Linked DNA regions of Lytechinus pictus. The protein of the gene in region 2 purifies or fractionates together with the protein of the main gene of each other region. This does not show direct contact. Links are inferred from orthologs where the notes say so. Each region holds a gene or a part of one and is shown on either strand. Other genes may lie near its edges.

Region 1 (7,024 bases), on a different chromosome or scaffold from region 2:
AGATTATATCCAACAAAAGATTATTGCAAATCGAAGCGGGAGTTCTTTTGACGTTTAGAACTGAAAACGGGACATTCTATTCACCTATCTAATCATGAAAAGTATGGGGTTTTGCTACAGAAATGATGCGAGCGCGAAGTGCGAGCTGAAAATCTTTATATTCCGATCTGAGAAGCGGACAATTTGAGCACGATTTTAAATAAAGAACGAGTTGTGTAGCTCAATCTCGCTTGCTGATTTCTGTGTATAATTACCATCTTATTTTATTTTTGCACAAAGTCATGCGGAATTATTGGGGGGGGCAAAACGATGTTTGCCCCCAATATTTTCATTGGTGGGGCGATCGCCCCCCCAGGATCGACGCCTCTGTATATACAATGATACTCCATCATGAATCATTCGGAATACATCACCAATCCAGGTTTATATATTATCATTCAATTTTCATGTACATGATGTATAGGCCTATATACAGAATTTGGTATATATTGTGATGCTTTTCACTAAATCCAATGCAATTTGTAATGATGAGTAATTTTTATCTAACTACTTTGATGAAACTGAATATGATGCTTATGACCTGAATTAAAAAAGAGATCCTTCAAGACAGAGCTTTGGAAATAATTCTCCAGTTTTACAGGTATCGTTATCTTTGTTTTTAACTTCTTCCTGAGTGATCAGATGAATAATATTTAACTTAATGGAAGATGAAAATAAATCAAATTTTGTGGCGTAAACATTTAAACGTTAAAACAAAGGTACTGACAAACTGTATTTATACATTGAAAATGATATTGAGTGGTTTCGGGTCTAACGGATATACGTCTGGTTGCGTAATTATACACTCCCGGTACTAGCAACGGGTTTTAGCGAAGCTTTGGACTAAAATATCGAATCAACTTCATAAAACACTATAGTAGCTGTCTTACACTAAATGCCATAGAGGTGGCACAATGTGGAATGTGTAAAGAAGGAAAGTGACTGATCTTTTTTTTATTAGGGCATTGGAAAATAAGATCAAAATTAAAGGATTTGCTCTACGCTTTTGTATGATTCTGGGATTTTTAAATAAATTAAAGATTTCATGACATCTGTGGGCAACTGCCCCGCCCCATGCAGTCCACTCTGTAAGGGCATGCGATAAGCTTTGTTATGACCATTCAACAATAAAATGTATAACCAGGTGCCGCTGATCATTCTTGACCGGCGCCAATCTAGATTTGGTTGGCAATAGGCTCTTCTTCATTATTCTACCGGCGCCTATTTATTGGAACCAGGGGACGCTGATTATTCTTGACCGGCGCCGATTTAGAACAAGTACTGCTGATTATTTTTACCGACGTCACGTAAGATTCAGGCAGCGGCAATTCACAATCGACTGGCGCCGATTTAGAACCAGGAGGCGCCGATTATTCTTGACTGGCGCCGATTTTTAACCAGGTGGTGCTGATTATTCTTGTCCGGCGCCGATTTAGATTTAGGTGGAGCTGATTATTCTTGATCGGCGCCGGTTAAGACTCAGGCAGCGCCGATTTATAACCAGATGGCGCTGATTATTCTTGACCAGCCCCGATTTAGATATAGGTGGCGCTGATTATCCTTGATCGGCGCCGGTTACGAACTCAGTCAGGATTTTTCTTTACCGGCGCCGATTTGACCAGATGGCGCCGATTATTCTTGCCCGGCGCCGATTTAGATTTAGGTGGAGCTGATTATTCTTGATCGGCGCCGGTTAAGACTCTGGCAGCGCTGATTTATAACCAGATGGCGCTGATTATTCTTGTCCGGCCCCGATTTAGATTTAGGTGGCGCTGATTATCCTTAATCGGAGCCGGTTAAGAACTCAGGCAGCGCCGATTTTTCTTTACCGGCGCCGATTTGACCAGATGGCGCCAATTATTCTTGCCCGGCGCCGATTTAGATTTAGGTGGAGCTGATTATTCTTGATCGGCGCCGGTTAAGACTCTGGCAGCGCCGATTTATAACCAGATGGCGCTGATTATTCTTGTCCGGCCCCGAGTTAGATTTAGGTGGCGCTGATTATCCTTAATCGGCGCCGGTTAAGAACTCAGGCAGCGTCGATTTTTCTTGACTGGCGCTGATTTATAACCAAATGGCGCTGGTTATTCTTGATTGGCGCCAGTTATATGCAGGCAGCGCACTGCTGATTATTTTTAACAGGCGAAGTTGTTGGGAAAAGGGTAGTTAAAAGAAAAAATAAGGAAGATGATTATGATTGCGCTTTGCTGGGGGATAGTCTTTCCTTTACTGTTGCTAATATAATATTAGTGTATTATTTTTTAAGCGGCGCCTTTTCTTTTCTTTCCTTTATTTTTATTTTTCAAGCAGTGCCTTTTCTTTTCTTTTTTTTTGAACGGCGCCTTCGGCGCCGCTCAAATATTAGGGGGGGGCGCGCCCCCTGCGCCACCCCCTGGATCCGCCACTGATGTTCGGGGTATATTTTGTTAATTTCCATCATAACTTTGAAAGTTTATGGATCTGGTTCATGAAACTTGGACATAAGAGTAATCAAGTATTATTCAACACCCTGACTGAGTTTCAGGTCACATGACCAAGGTGAAAAGTCATTCAGGGTCAATGAACTTAGATTATGTCGGGGATCATCGAAACAAAATCTGAACCAAGATTGAATTTTTAAATATCATAACTCTGAAAGTATATAGTTCATGAAACTAGGACATTAAGACTAATCAAGCATGGCATCAGTGAACACCCTGCGTGAGTTTCAGGTCACATGACCACGGTCAATTAACTTTGGCCGTGTTGGGGGTATTTGTTGAATTGCCATCATAACTTTTAAAGTTTATGGATCTGGTTCATGAAAGATGAGGTTGTATCACTAATCGTCTTGCATAAGTCTTTGGTCACATGATAAACATGATAAAGGTCAAATATTATTTAGGGTCAGTGAACATAGTATTTTATCGTCATATTATGAATGGTGATTTTGTGAATGATTATTCTATTGTCGTTTTCAAAGTCACCATTGCTGCTGTATTGAATTGCGTAATGCAGGCGAGGATATTTGGAGGGGATGCGTCCTCTAGCCCCCCCCCCCCCCTCTCCCATGCTTTCGTCACTTATGATTAACACTGACATAACATTTTGAGGAATTTTGGTATAAATTCAGGAGGATACGTGTCCCACTGACACTACGAGCACGGAGCGCGTTTCTTCTTCCTCTTATCCTTCTTCTTTTTTTTACTCCTTTCCTTTCTTTGTCCGGGGGTAGATGTCCGGGAGAAGATATCCGGGGGTAGATGTCAGGGAGAAGATGTCCGGGGTAGATGTCCGTGCTGGGTTAAATGTCCAGGGGTAGATGTCCGGGGGTAAATGTCCAGGCCGGTAGATGTCCGGGGGTAGACGTCCGGGCTGGGGTAATATGTCCAGGGGTAGATGTCCGGGGAGTAGATGTCCGGGGGTAGATGTCCGGCGGTAAATATCCAGGGGGTAGATGTTCGGGGGTAGATCAATGCCCAGGAGTAGATTTCCGGGGGTAGATGTATGGGGGTAGATGCATGTCCGGCAGATCGATGTCCAGGGGTAGATGCATGTCCGGGGGTAGATGTCCGGCGATGGATGCCGAGGGGTATTCGGCCAGGATATAACAATACACCAGTCGGTGGACTGTACTTTATCAGAAGAAGAAGAAGAAGAAGAAGAAGAAGGATATTTTAACTGGAGGGAGGATAAGGTTATTTTCGAGGATGAATTTGACCCATGGAGAATTATATCTCTATGATTTGACCCCTCAGGAGATGCCTTTATAAATGCCGATTTATTTCTAAAATGGGCCGGTCGAGGGACGTTTTTCTGGTCAGATATGGATTGTAAGATATATAACCTATCTACTGGTGGTAAACATTGGACCCCTGAATTTCATCCGTATTTTTAATGTTTTTTTTTTTTTATTGCCATGGCCCGCGAGACCTGTTGAGCGCATGACTATAGTTCATTGTCGCAAGAGGGAGACGTTGCACTAATGCTTATTATCAAGGGTCAGAAATGGCGACCCTTTCACGGTAATCCGCCACTGAAAGCCTCCTGAAATACCGTGTTTTCCAGGAAGTAAGTAGAGTTTCCTATGTTATTAATGCGCTATTCACATGTAATAATCATCTTTGTTTCACTTGAATGTAATATGATGCGTAAGAAATGTATGTTCTAAGTTAGAATGGAAAATTACTCTGATCATCATTTTTTTCGCGTGTTTTTAAATGGATGACTGGTTTGTGTGGTCCCATATATTGTAAATTATTGAAGTAGATCTCGTATGACAGACCAAAGACAAGTCGGACAAACGACAACTTTTCATCTTATAATTTTCCATAGATGATACTGCACTTTGTTATTTTTTGAAAGGTATTCTGCAGTTAAAGCTGATATATACTGTTTATTATTTTTATCATAGCCTAGACTAGAGGACTCGACTCCTATTCCTAACCCAGGGGCAGGGGAGCTCTGATATTTTTTATGTGATTTTATTTTTAACTCCCATGGCCTGGGCGCTAGCGGCTACCTCGGGCGAAGTTCGTGCAGGCTCCACTCCACTTCACTACCGCTACACTTCGGGACGGTGAACCATTTCGGATATTTCGAGTGACAAAGGTGTGATAAAATGATGGTTTAAAATTAAAGTCTTTATTGTAAAAATTACAGAAAAAAAATATAACGAGAAAGATAAATAGCTTAATATCTTATTATTACCTGATGTACTGGAAAAATGCAGCCAACTTTCCAGGACTAGCTATCGTCCAAGCTCAATCTTCTTCCACAAGTATAATATATGAGTGTCAGTGTCCAGTGTACATGGTGCATTTGCAATCATTTTTTTTCAAATCAAATCATTCCCAAGGCCGGGTGACTGTACCATTCTCTATTCCAGAACTTATCAAGCCTGGCTTGGAAGGAGTTTACAGATGGAGCAGAGACAACTTCATTTGGTAGCGAGTTCCAGTCATGCACTATCTTACTCTACACCCGTATTTCACTCCGTGTCCATCCTCCGGTTATCCTCAAAATTTGTGATTTTGGGCCAGTAATGTATCGAATTCCTCACACGTATTATTCACGGCCGATTTCAAAGTATGCGCATATCGAGTGGACCTTCCTAATATAATAGCAACACTGATGTGTGTTGCTGCCCTCTACGTTCGTTGCATACAATGTTTTGAAATCGGCCTTGAATAATATGTGTGAGGAATTTGATACTGGCCCAAAATCACCAATTTTGAGGATAACCGGAGGATGGACACGGAGTGAAATACGGCATTCCTGTCAACTGTCCCGATTAAATCTGAAAAATACGATTTTCGAAATTTTAGACCCCCCAAAATCGGAATGTCCCGTTTTTTCAATTTTTGAAGGAGAGATTTCGTCATAAGCCAAATCCACCCGAAATCGCGGTTATTTGGCGTATTTATCGCAAAGTTCCAGCGAGTTGGCGGGCTGAGAGGTATTTCTCGCCACCGCGATGCGTTTCTCTCGCACAACATTATGCCCTGAATGTGCAGGTATTGATGGGTTTCCCGCCAGCGCAGCCCCGATGGCTTATTTGTCCGTGTATACGGCTCGGAGACTGGTGTCCTTTCTTTCGTAAATGACACTATCATGGCGTTGATGTAGTTCATTAAGAAATGGTAACCAGTCTAGCGCCTATATCCAAGTGCAGCGAAGACGTGACTGTGAACCGTGATTACAGCTGGAACTCCTAAAACAGGTTCATCATTGTTACTTTCTTTTTATTGTGATGATTTATGTTTGGACCCTTACACGTATATTTTTTCGTATGTTGAGTCTTTGTAATGTGTTTTTCGTTCCGGCTCTGTCACTAAGTTAAATCACGCGCAGTCGTTGAAAGCACGCGTGGCCATCGCCAGTGCAAACGGCTCGATAGGCCTTGTGTTGGCCGCAACTCTGGGCGTCGTGATTCGTGATTTATGTTGAAGTGCTTGGCCAAGTCTACCATCATGGCATGGCATTGGCTATCCAGCGAACAGTCTGAAATGCGAAAACGTATTTCAACATGAAAATATATCCCTCTCACAGCGGATACAAAAGATTTTATAATCCTAAGCATGATATTTGGATTGAAGTGAGGTGCTCTTTCATTTGATCTATCTAGACTGTAGTTCATGACTGTAGTTTGAAGTTTGTTTGAGAAAGATGAAATGAATTAATGGTTCAAAAGTGGGGTCTGCGCCTGCGCTCGCAGTCCGGCCCCCAGATCAGTTGATTTTATATTTAAAAAAAAAAGAATTTTAGATCGTTCAACACCTTTTTTTTTAATTGAAGAGATTCATTTTTTGTCTTGAAGTTGAAAGGAATTATGGAGGGCCATTAGAGACATAAAATGACCCTACAGGTGTGTTTATATATGTATAGAGTAATTCTGGTATCATTTAAAGCCTCCAATGTCCTCCAGAATGCCATTTTCCTTTCGATCCGCCCCTTGAAAACCCCGTCAGAGACGCTGCCCCTGGACCCCCGTCCAAGGGTGTTCCTATTTCAAATCTTCAAATGTTGGCAGGTATGATAACTTGACTGCAGGAACAACTGTATTTTTCCAGTAGATGCGGTATAAAGGTATAAAGGTATAAAGGTATGATACGGGTGTAGAGTAAGATATTAAGCTATTTATCTTTCTCGTTATATTTTTTTTCTGTTATTTTTACAATAAACCATCATTTTATCCCACCTTTGTCACTCAGAATATCTGAAATGGTTCACCGTCCCAAAGTTCGGGTAGGTGGAGCGTAGTGTAGCGGTAGTGAAGTGGAGTGGAGCCTGCACGAACTTCGCCCGAGGTAGCCAGCGGCTAGATATAGATTGTGCTGTTGGGCATGTGCGCAAATAGTCATGCGTTAATTTGCTCCAAGTGTTCTTGCATATTTTGAGTGGTTCGTTTAGTTACGTTTAGCGGTATCTTCATATTTTCTGGCAGCCGAATTGATGGTCTATCAATATGACATGTTTCCACGGCTCCTCCGGGAGGCACAACACA
Region 2 (7,800 bases):
GTGCCATTGTCGACCGTCCAACAAATCTCCAACAAACTAGTTTCCAACTTTGTCAACGTTGTGCCATTGTCGGTTGTTCAGCAACTTTCCAGCGAACTAGTTTCCAACGTTGTGCCTCTGATGGCTGTTCAACAACTATCCAATCAAACGTGTTTCCAACGTTGTGACATTGTCGACCGTCCAACAAATCTCCAACAAACTAGTTTCCAACTTTGTCAACGTTGTGCCATTGTCGGTTGTTCAACAACTTTCCAGCGAACTAGTTTCCAACGTTGCCAACGTTGTGCCTTTGCTGGCTGTTCAACAACTATCCAATCAAACGTGTTTCCAACGTTGTGACATTGTCGACTGTCCAACAACTCTCCAACTAACAAGTTTCCAACGTTGCCAACGTCGTGTCATTGTTGATTGTCCATCAACTTTCCATCAAACTAGTTTCCAACGTCGATTCAACGTTAATCCATCAAGTTTTTCCAACGTCCAACGACTTTCAAGTTTCCAACGTGGAGCCAACGTTGGCTTGTTACCTGGGTAGGCTTTGGAATAAGTATGAATATTGGAAAACAGGAAACAGCTTTTGAAGTAATTAAATAAAAAACAATTTATAACTTGTTTATTACCAATCTACAAGAGCTATACAAATTAACACTCAAGGATGGTCACAGTGATTTTAATTTTACTGATGTAGAAATTTGTAAATTATTTGGATATATCAGGAGTACAACTCTTATAAGAAAACAAAGGGAATTTCAGTTTATGCTTTTACATGGAGCAATATATCATATATACAAAAGAACATTTGATGAGATTTGGTTTCGTGGGAGATAATTATTGTTCGTTTGGTTGTACAAAAACTGAATCGTACTTTCATATACTCATGGATTGCATAAAAAGTTCAACCTCTGTGGCAATTTTGTATTAATCATTTTTGTTTAGCTGAATTAAGAACTTTGAATTGGAGGGAAATATTTTTAGGATTACCTGGAAATTCTTGTCGAATTAATGTGTCAATTCTGTTGTTCTTTTTATTAAATATGCAATTTTTAATTCTAGAGCTGAAGGCCGGGTACCTTATTTTTTTTAAATTCACAAATATATTACGGGTTGTATATAGAAGAAGAAAGTCGCCTGGCAACGAAGTCAGGCACGTTAAGTTGACATGGCTCGGTGTAAAAATGGCAAAGGTAATAATGGCAGTGGTAAAAATGGCAGAGGTCAAAAATGGCAGAGATAATAATGGCAGAGGTAAAAATGGCAGAGGTGAAAATGGCAGAGGTAAAAATGGCAGAGGTAAAAATGGCAGAGGTAAAAATGGCAGAGGTAAAAATGGCAGAGGTAAAAATGGCAGAGGTAATAAAGGCAGAGGTAAAATGGCAGAGGTAATAATGGCAGAGGTAAAAATGGCAGAGGTAATAATGGCAGAGGTAAAAATGGCAGAGGTAATTAAAATGGCAGAGGTAAAAATGGCAGAGGTAATAAAGGCAGAGGTAAAATGGCAGAGGTAATAATGGCAGAGGTAAAAATGGCAGAAGTAATAATTGCAGAGGTAAAAATGGCAGAGGTCATAATGGTATAGGTAAAAAGGGTCTTAAACCCCCATTAAAAAAATCAAAAAGCCCCCGCATGTAAGCCCTACATTGATTAACTAAGAAAGGTTCTAATAAAATAAAAATAATGGAAAGGGTGACATTTTTAAAATCATAGATAGATCGTCTGCACCAAATTGATAATCTTTTGGCTGGAATATCTTATTTTTTCTGGACTCTCATGGACGGCCTTCTCATGTCAAATCGCTGTATTAATATTCAAGTTTGAAGCACACTCTTGATCGCAATTGCACTTAATTCATTAAAGGGGAAGTTCAACCTCAGTTAAAAGTCATTGTAGAATAGCAGAAAAAAATAAAATAATATTGGTGAGGGTTTTAGGAAATCAATCAAAGATTAAAAATGCTATACTTTTATATTTCAATGATGACGTCATTTGCGAGCAGTTTTCCCGTATTTGGTGTATAGAAAATATTAATGAAATGTAATTTTCTAGAAAAATCAAAATGTTTTTTTTTATCTTCAGTATATATCAATAGACAAATCATTTCACTTACGCTACTGAAATATTTTTTAAAACAATTATGAACCGTTTTGTAGTGCATAAAATGTCATGGGGCAGCTTCCCATATATGACGTCAAACCCGTTGTGAACCTGACATCCACTTGGACTAGCTGCATTGAGGTCCCATTGAGGTATTGCTCTACAGACTAAACAATAATTGCATTATTTACATTTAACGTATCACATTAATCAGGGGCAGATCCAGGATTTTCCAGGGGGGGGGCACATTTTCCTGAAAAATGACACGCAAAAAAAGTTTTCCACCTACTAACTCGTCCACAAAAATTATTAGCAAACAGAAAAGGGTCTCGCTTTAAAAAGGGGGCGCACTTGAGTTAGAACCATAGAGATGTATACATCTCTATGGTTAAGTTAGAACCAACGAACGTAGAGGGCAGCAACACACAAGCGTGTTGCTATAAGGAAGGTCAACTCGATACGCGCATGCAGCTGAGCTGCGCGCGTATTTTATTGTTCATGCCAACGAAATCAAATGCCGATCAAATACAACAACAAATTAGTAGCGATCAAAAAACGAATATGAAAGAATATGACTACAACAATATCAAAGATAACTTAAAAAATATGTTGAGGAATATACATACATATAAAAACATACTTTGATATTTAAAACTTTACAAATATAAGTTTCAGGAAACTAAAATCATTACCAAATCGGTTATTGTTGTTATCAGCGATTTCACCAGACGGCTGTATTAGGTGATTTGCGTCGAGACGATTTTTGTGACCACTCGCAAAGCATTTCGGGATTGAATATAACCACCTTATTTTCTCTGAGCTCTTCGCTGAACCCATCATCACAGTGCAGCTGCAGCGCAGCGCGCAGCCAATGCAATGCATCCGATGCATGGGTTGTTTTTCGCCGTCCATGCCATGGTAACGGACTCAGAGTTGAAATTTAGACCCGGATTTCGGGGATACAACGCCTTTATTTCAGATTTATAGACTTAAAAGTCAAATGACATTTAAAATTTGAAATCTAACCTTGAACAATCATCGTTGATAAACATCAGCCCTGAAGCCATTACACTTCAAATCAGGCCAGGCAAATTAGACGTCATTGTCTAAGTTGCTAGATCTATGACGAGTCGCCTGAAGCCCCAGCGCATCATCAACGTCACTAGCTAGCTGCGCGACCGGCCCAGACTCGGCGCACCCAGGCCAGAAAAATGACCTCGATTATTGCGGTGGTTGTCTATGCATTTATTAGTGGTGCAGCGAAATTCAGCAGAAGAAAATAAGAGATATGAGGTATCCTCGTCACAGGCTTAATATTCCAAAATGAGGAAAAATGTCAAAATCATGATTATTTAAGCTAAATATTTTCTTTAAAAATGAAAGTAATATTTTTAATATTTATATCCAGAATAACCGATCTAATAATTGTTCATTAAAAAATATTTGAAATTAACAAATGAAAAAAAATCAACTCGACAAATTTCCCAAAACCCCACCTTATTTTTTAAAGTGGTCACAAAATTCGAGCGGAGTTGACCTTCCTTAGAGCAACACGCTTGTGTGTTGCTGCCCTCTACGTTCGTTGGTTAGAACCGAAAATGTCTCCGATATTATTTAATAAACTTGCTTGTTTGCGTCGTTGACGTCAGATCAGCTGTACTGCTGGTAGACAGGAATAACCGTCGTTTCTGGGGATTTATTCAACAATCTCTGACATTTTACTGTAATCCCCATTTACCGACGGTAGGGTGTACGTGTGGGCTCGCATGTGTTCTCATTCCCTCCCTTTTGTCAATTCACAGTCCAAAGTTTAATGTAATTTTACACATCGAATTTACAATCTAAGGATGTATAAACAACAAACTTTTAATTGATGATATTCCAACATTTAAATACTTTAAACGATATAGATGAAAAAGGCATGAAAAATATACTTTACCGATGTTTAATTGGGTTGAACACGATAAAAATGGTCAAAATGGCAGCCAAACTATAAAATATTTACAAACGAACGTCAACAATCACGAATGTGATATCGATATTGCTTTCGATATTATACGATCTGCTCCATATGCGAACGAAACCGAAGATAAACGATACTAGTTATACTAGTACGAGTACTAGTTATAATCGCGATATATCGATTCGAGACATTAAGTTAATAACGACAATGACGTCATTCAAGATGGCAACTTGCAAGAAAAACCGTCAGGTCAGGTGAAAATGTCTTAGATGACAGATTTCTCAATCATCCAGAGGATTTTTTTCAATCACTCCGGCCCAAGGTATGCAATTACTTAAGTTATATATATTTCCCTGATAATGGAAACCATGAAACTTTCAATTTTGCTTAAAAAACAGTTTTAAATCGCGATCTATAAAACGCTAGTTCACTATACGTTGGCTGTAGGTACGGGGCCCCATCCCCTTCAGTCTATGTATGGTGAGTGGAGCCAACGTAGTTCAGCGGAACAACCAAAATACAGAGACTGAAGCTTTTGGTCTATACTGCTGGTTGCGTTCTAGGCGCTCCGCATTTTTTTCGCTGTTCACCGTTATTTTATGATGTAGCGCCATCAGCGATTATACGTGACATACAACCTGTTGATTTTTGGTACAATTTCCTATTATGCGCCGGCGACTTGAATCTAGACTGTTCGATAGGAAAAATTCGCATTTCAATTTTTGTTTGCGTAATTTCCACCGCAGTATTAAGGATCGGTCGGAGTAACTGGCTGAGATTTGGAGGTAAGCGTTTAAAATCCATTTTTATTACCTTTATTACCTTTATTACCGGATCTACTGGAAAAATGCAATTACTATTATGCAGTCGTGTTTCCAGGTCTATCACTGTTGCTATCTCCATCTAACTATTAAAATAACGTGTGCCTGTGTGCTGTGCCAGAGTTACTATTCCCAAGGGCAAGGGTGAGTATATTGCACTGCAGACCAAAACTTATAGATAAGTTCGTGCTGATTTTTAAAATTAGATTACATTATACGATTAAGATTACTAAATTTAGTATATTGTGAAGATTTAGGCGTGTTTCATATTCTCACATTCGTGTGATGAATGAAAACGTCAAAATTCATTATGAAATTACATGCGTTGTGCGAGGTTAGTATACTAACCTTGCATGTTGTGTGAGTGGGATCAAATCACTCACACAACTTCACAAGGCACAAGCATGCGAGGTTAGTTGTACAAATTTCGCACAACGCATGTCATTTCATAATGAATTTTGACGTTTTCATTCATCACACGAATGTGAGAGAATGACACATGCCAAAATCTTCACAATATACTAAATTTATTCATCTAACTCTTATCAGTGACATTGAATTCAATTTTAAAAATGTGCTCGAACGTATTTATAAAAAGGGATTTTAAACGCTTACCTCCAAATCTCAGCCAAGATACTCCGTCTGATCCTTAATACTGCGGTGGAAATTACGCAAACAATTGAAATGCGAATTTTTCCTATCGAACAGTCTAGATTCAAGTCGCCGGCGCATAATAGGAAATTGTACCAAAAAAATCAACAGGTTGCATCTCACGTATATAATCGCTGATGGCGCTACATCATAAAATAACGCTGAACAGCGAAAAAAATGCGGAGCAAATAGAACGCAACCAGCAGTACAGCTGATCTGATGTAAACGACGTAAACAAGCAAGTTTATTAAATTATATCGCACGCCCTCTCTGTGCGTATAGAGAAAACCAGCGAATTGGCTCCATGCCTGCTTCAACTTTAAGAAAAATCATCGATATATTAAAAGTACCAGAAAGACAGAGAGGAATTGAAATTGGCTTCATATCGTTTGGTAAGTTTCATATCCAAAGCTTACTTGATTTTAGATATAGTGGACATATGGAAGTCTTGCCAATAATAGGCCTCAAATTATTGCAAGTGCCGTGCCAGTGGTTATCCTGTGCACGGCGGCGGTAATGTACCCGTGGGTGGGATCAAATGTAGTCTTGAGGACTCCATGATGATGTCTTTTTAAAAAAATTTGACATATACTTCTTCATCATGGAGTCTTGAATCCCCGCCCATATATGCAAAAAATATGCATAAATGATCGTGATTTTATTATTCTCTACACCTTCCTACGCCTAATGCATAAGAAGGTTAAAAAAAATTTCCATCAAAATATGAAAAAATAAAGGTTTCTTACCAGACCGATGTCGTGTAGATCCCTCGATCCAAATGTACACAACGCAAATACATACAATAGGATCGTCCCTTGAACCGCTTACGTAGGACGTACGTCCAGTTAGCAATGCTGTTTTGAAGAACAATTTATAGATAAAATTATTATTTTACAAATAATAAAATTCATTACGTGATTATAAATAATGAGTATAATACTACTAATTATTTATAATCCCGTAATGAATTATCTCTTCATTGGGACGGCTCTACAGTAACAATACCACAATGGGGGTTTTAATCTACCTCTTTTTGCTTCTGTGTGCTTTCAATAGCAGTGAAAGCATAGAATGTCTACCCAATCTGCATAGAGAAAGAATGGGCTGTGAACTTTATCATGTGAAATACTTCTCTTCACGGATCCTATACTACTCTAACTCTTCATCAACTTTTCAGGTAGATATCTTGGTTTTTGGTGATATAAACCCCAACCCAGGACCTGAAAATGCAACCACATATCCTGTATCACCTGTTTCTTACAGTAGAGGTGAACTTCTACGTCTTCGACCGGATGCTTCTGATAATGCTTATTCATCTCATCATATCTCTCCTTCTCTTGTCCAACATATTGAATGGCTCGGAATCTTTAGAAAACCTTACAGGAGACATAACGCTCATAGAGGCAGGAAAGGGGGTTGTCGGAGAAGAAAAATCCCTTCATATTCCACACCGTCTGGTATCCCTGATCATCAACGTCTTTGTTTTGCTTCGTGGAATGCACATTCTATAAATTCTAAAAACAAGTCTACTGCTCCATGTGACTTTGTTATTAGTCATCGATTGGATATCTTTGTCTTGACCGAGACATGGTTAACTGGTGATCATCGTGATTCTCGCACCCTAGCTGATATTAAGAACACACTTCCTAATTATTCGTTGCATCACTTACCACGCGGTCACTCGAGAGCTGGTGGTGTTGGTGTTCTCCTTCGTGATGGGGTTAAGATGAAACTCAATGTTGGTCAAAGTTATAAATCTTTTGAACAATTGGACATGAACATTAGTTCCATGAGCACTTCATTCCATTTAGTAGTCATTTATCGCCCGCCCCCCTCCTAATAAGAAGAATAAACTTACTAGCGCAATGTTTCTGGAGGATTTTGGTAGCTTTGTTGAATTACTTTTGTCACAACCTTGCAAATTTCTTCTGGCTGGAGATTTCAATGTCCATTGGGACTCGGCAGGAGATTCTGAAGCAATTCTTTTCCGTGATATGGTGACTGCTCCTGGTTTTATGCAACATGTTAATGCTTCTACCCACATTGCTGGTCATACTTTGGATCTTTTAATAACTGACAGTGATGATTCTTTTGTTTCTTCCGTCTCTATTATTGAAGAGCTTCCTTCTGACCACGCAGCTGTGAAGTGCCTCATTGATATTGCCCACCCTCCCCTAATGAAGAAATTTCTGTGCTATCGTAAGTTACGCTCCGTGTATATATCGTCTTTTAAATCTGACATTGTGCGCTCTTCTCATACAGTCTCTCCTACTA

Evidence for each region. The genes of interacting proteins can lie anywhere in the genome.
Region 1: the proteins of ZZ-type zinc finger-containing protein 3-like (region 2) and YEATS domain-containing protein 2-like purify together in Homo sapiens (affinity purification with mass spectrometry; 3 studies listed by BioGRID, with this or other methods). This does not show direct contact. The link is inferred for Lytechinus pictus from reciprocal best matches to the Homo sapiens genes ZZZ3 and YEATS2.

The regions. Positions count from the first base shown.
Region 1 is NW_026974141.1:16,183,963-16,190,986, forward strand, and holds the start of YEATS domain-containing protein 2-like, read left to right. Parts: upstream 1-4,005; 5' UTR 4,006-4,089; intron 4,090-7,024. UniProt on the Homo sapiens protein: Chromatin reader component of the ATAC complex, a complex with histone acetyltransferase activity on histones H3 and H4. YEATS2 specifically recognizes and binds histone H3 crotonylated at 'Lys-27' (H3K27cr).
Region 2 is NC_087259.1:1,649,603-1,657,402, forward strand, and holds the start of ZZ-type zinc finger-containing protein 3-like, read left to right. Parts: upstream 1-4,793; 5' UTR 4,794-4,839; intron 4,840-7,800.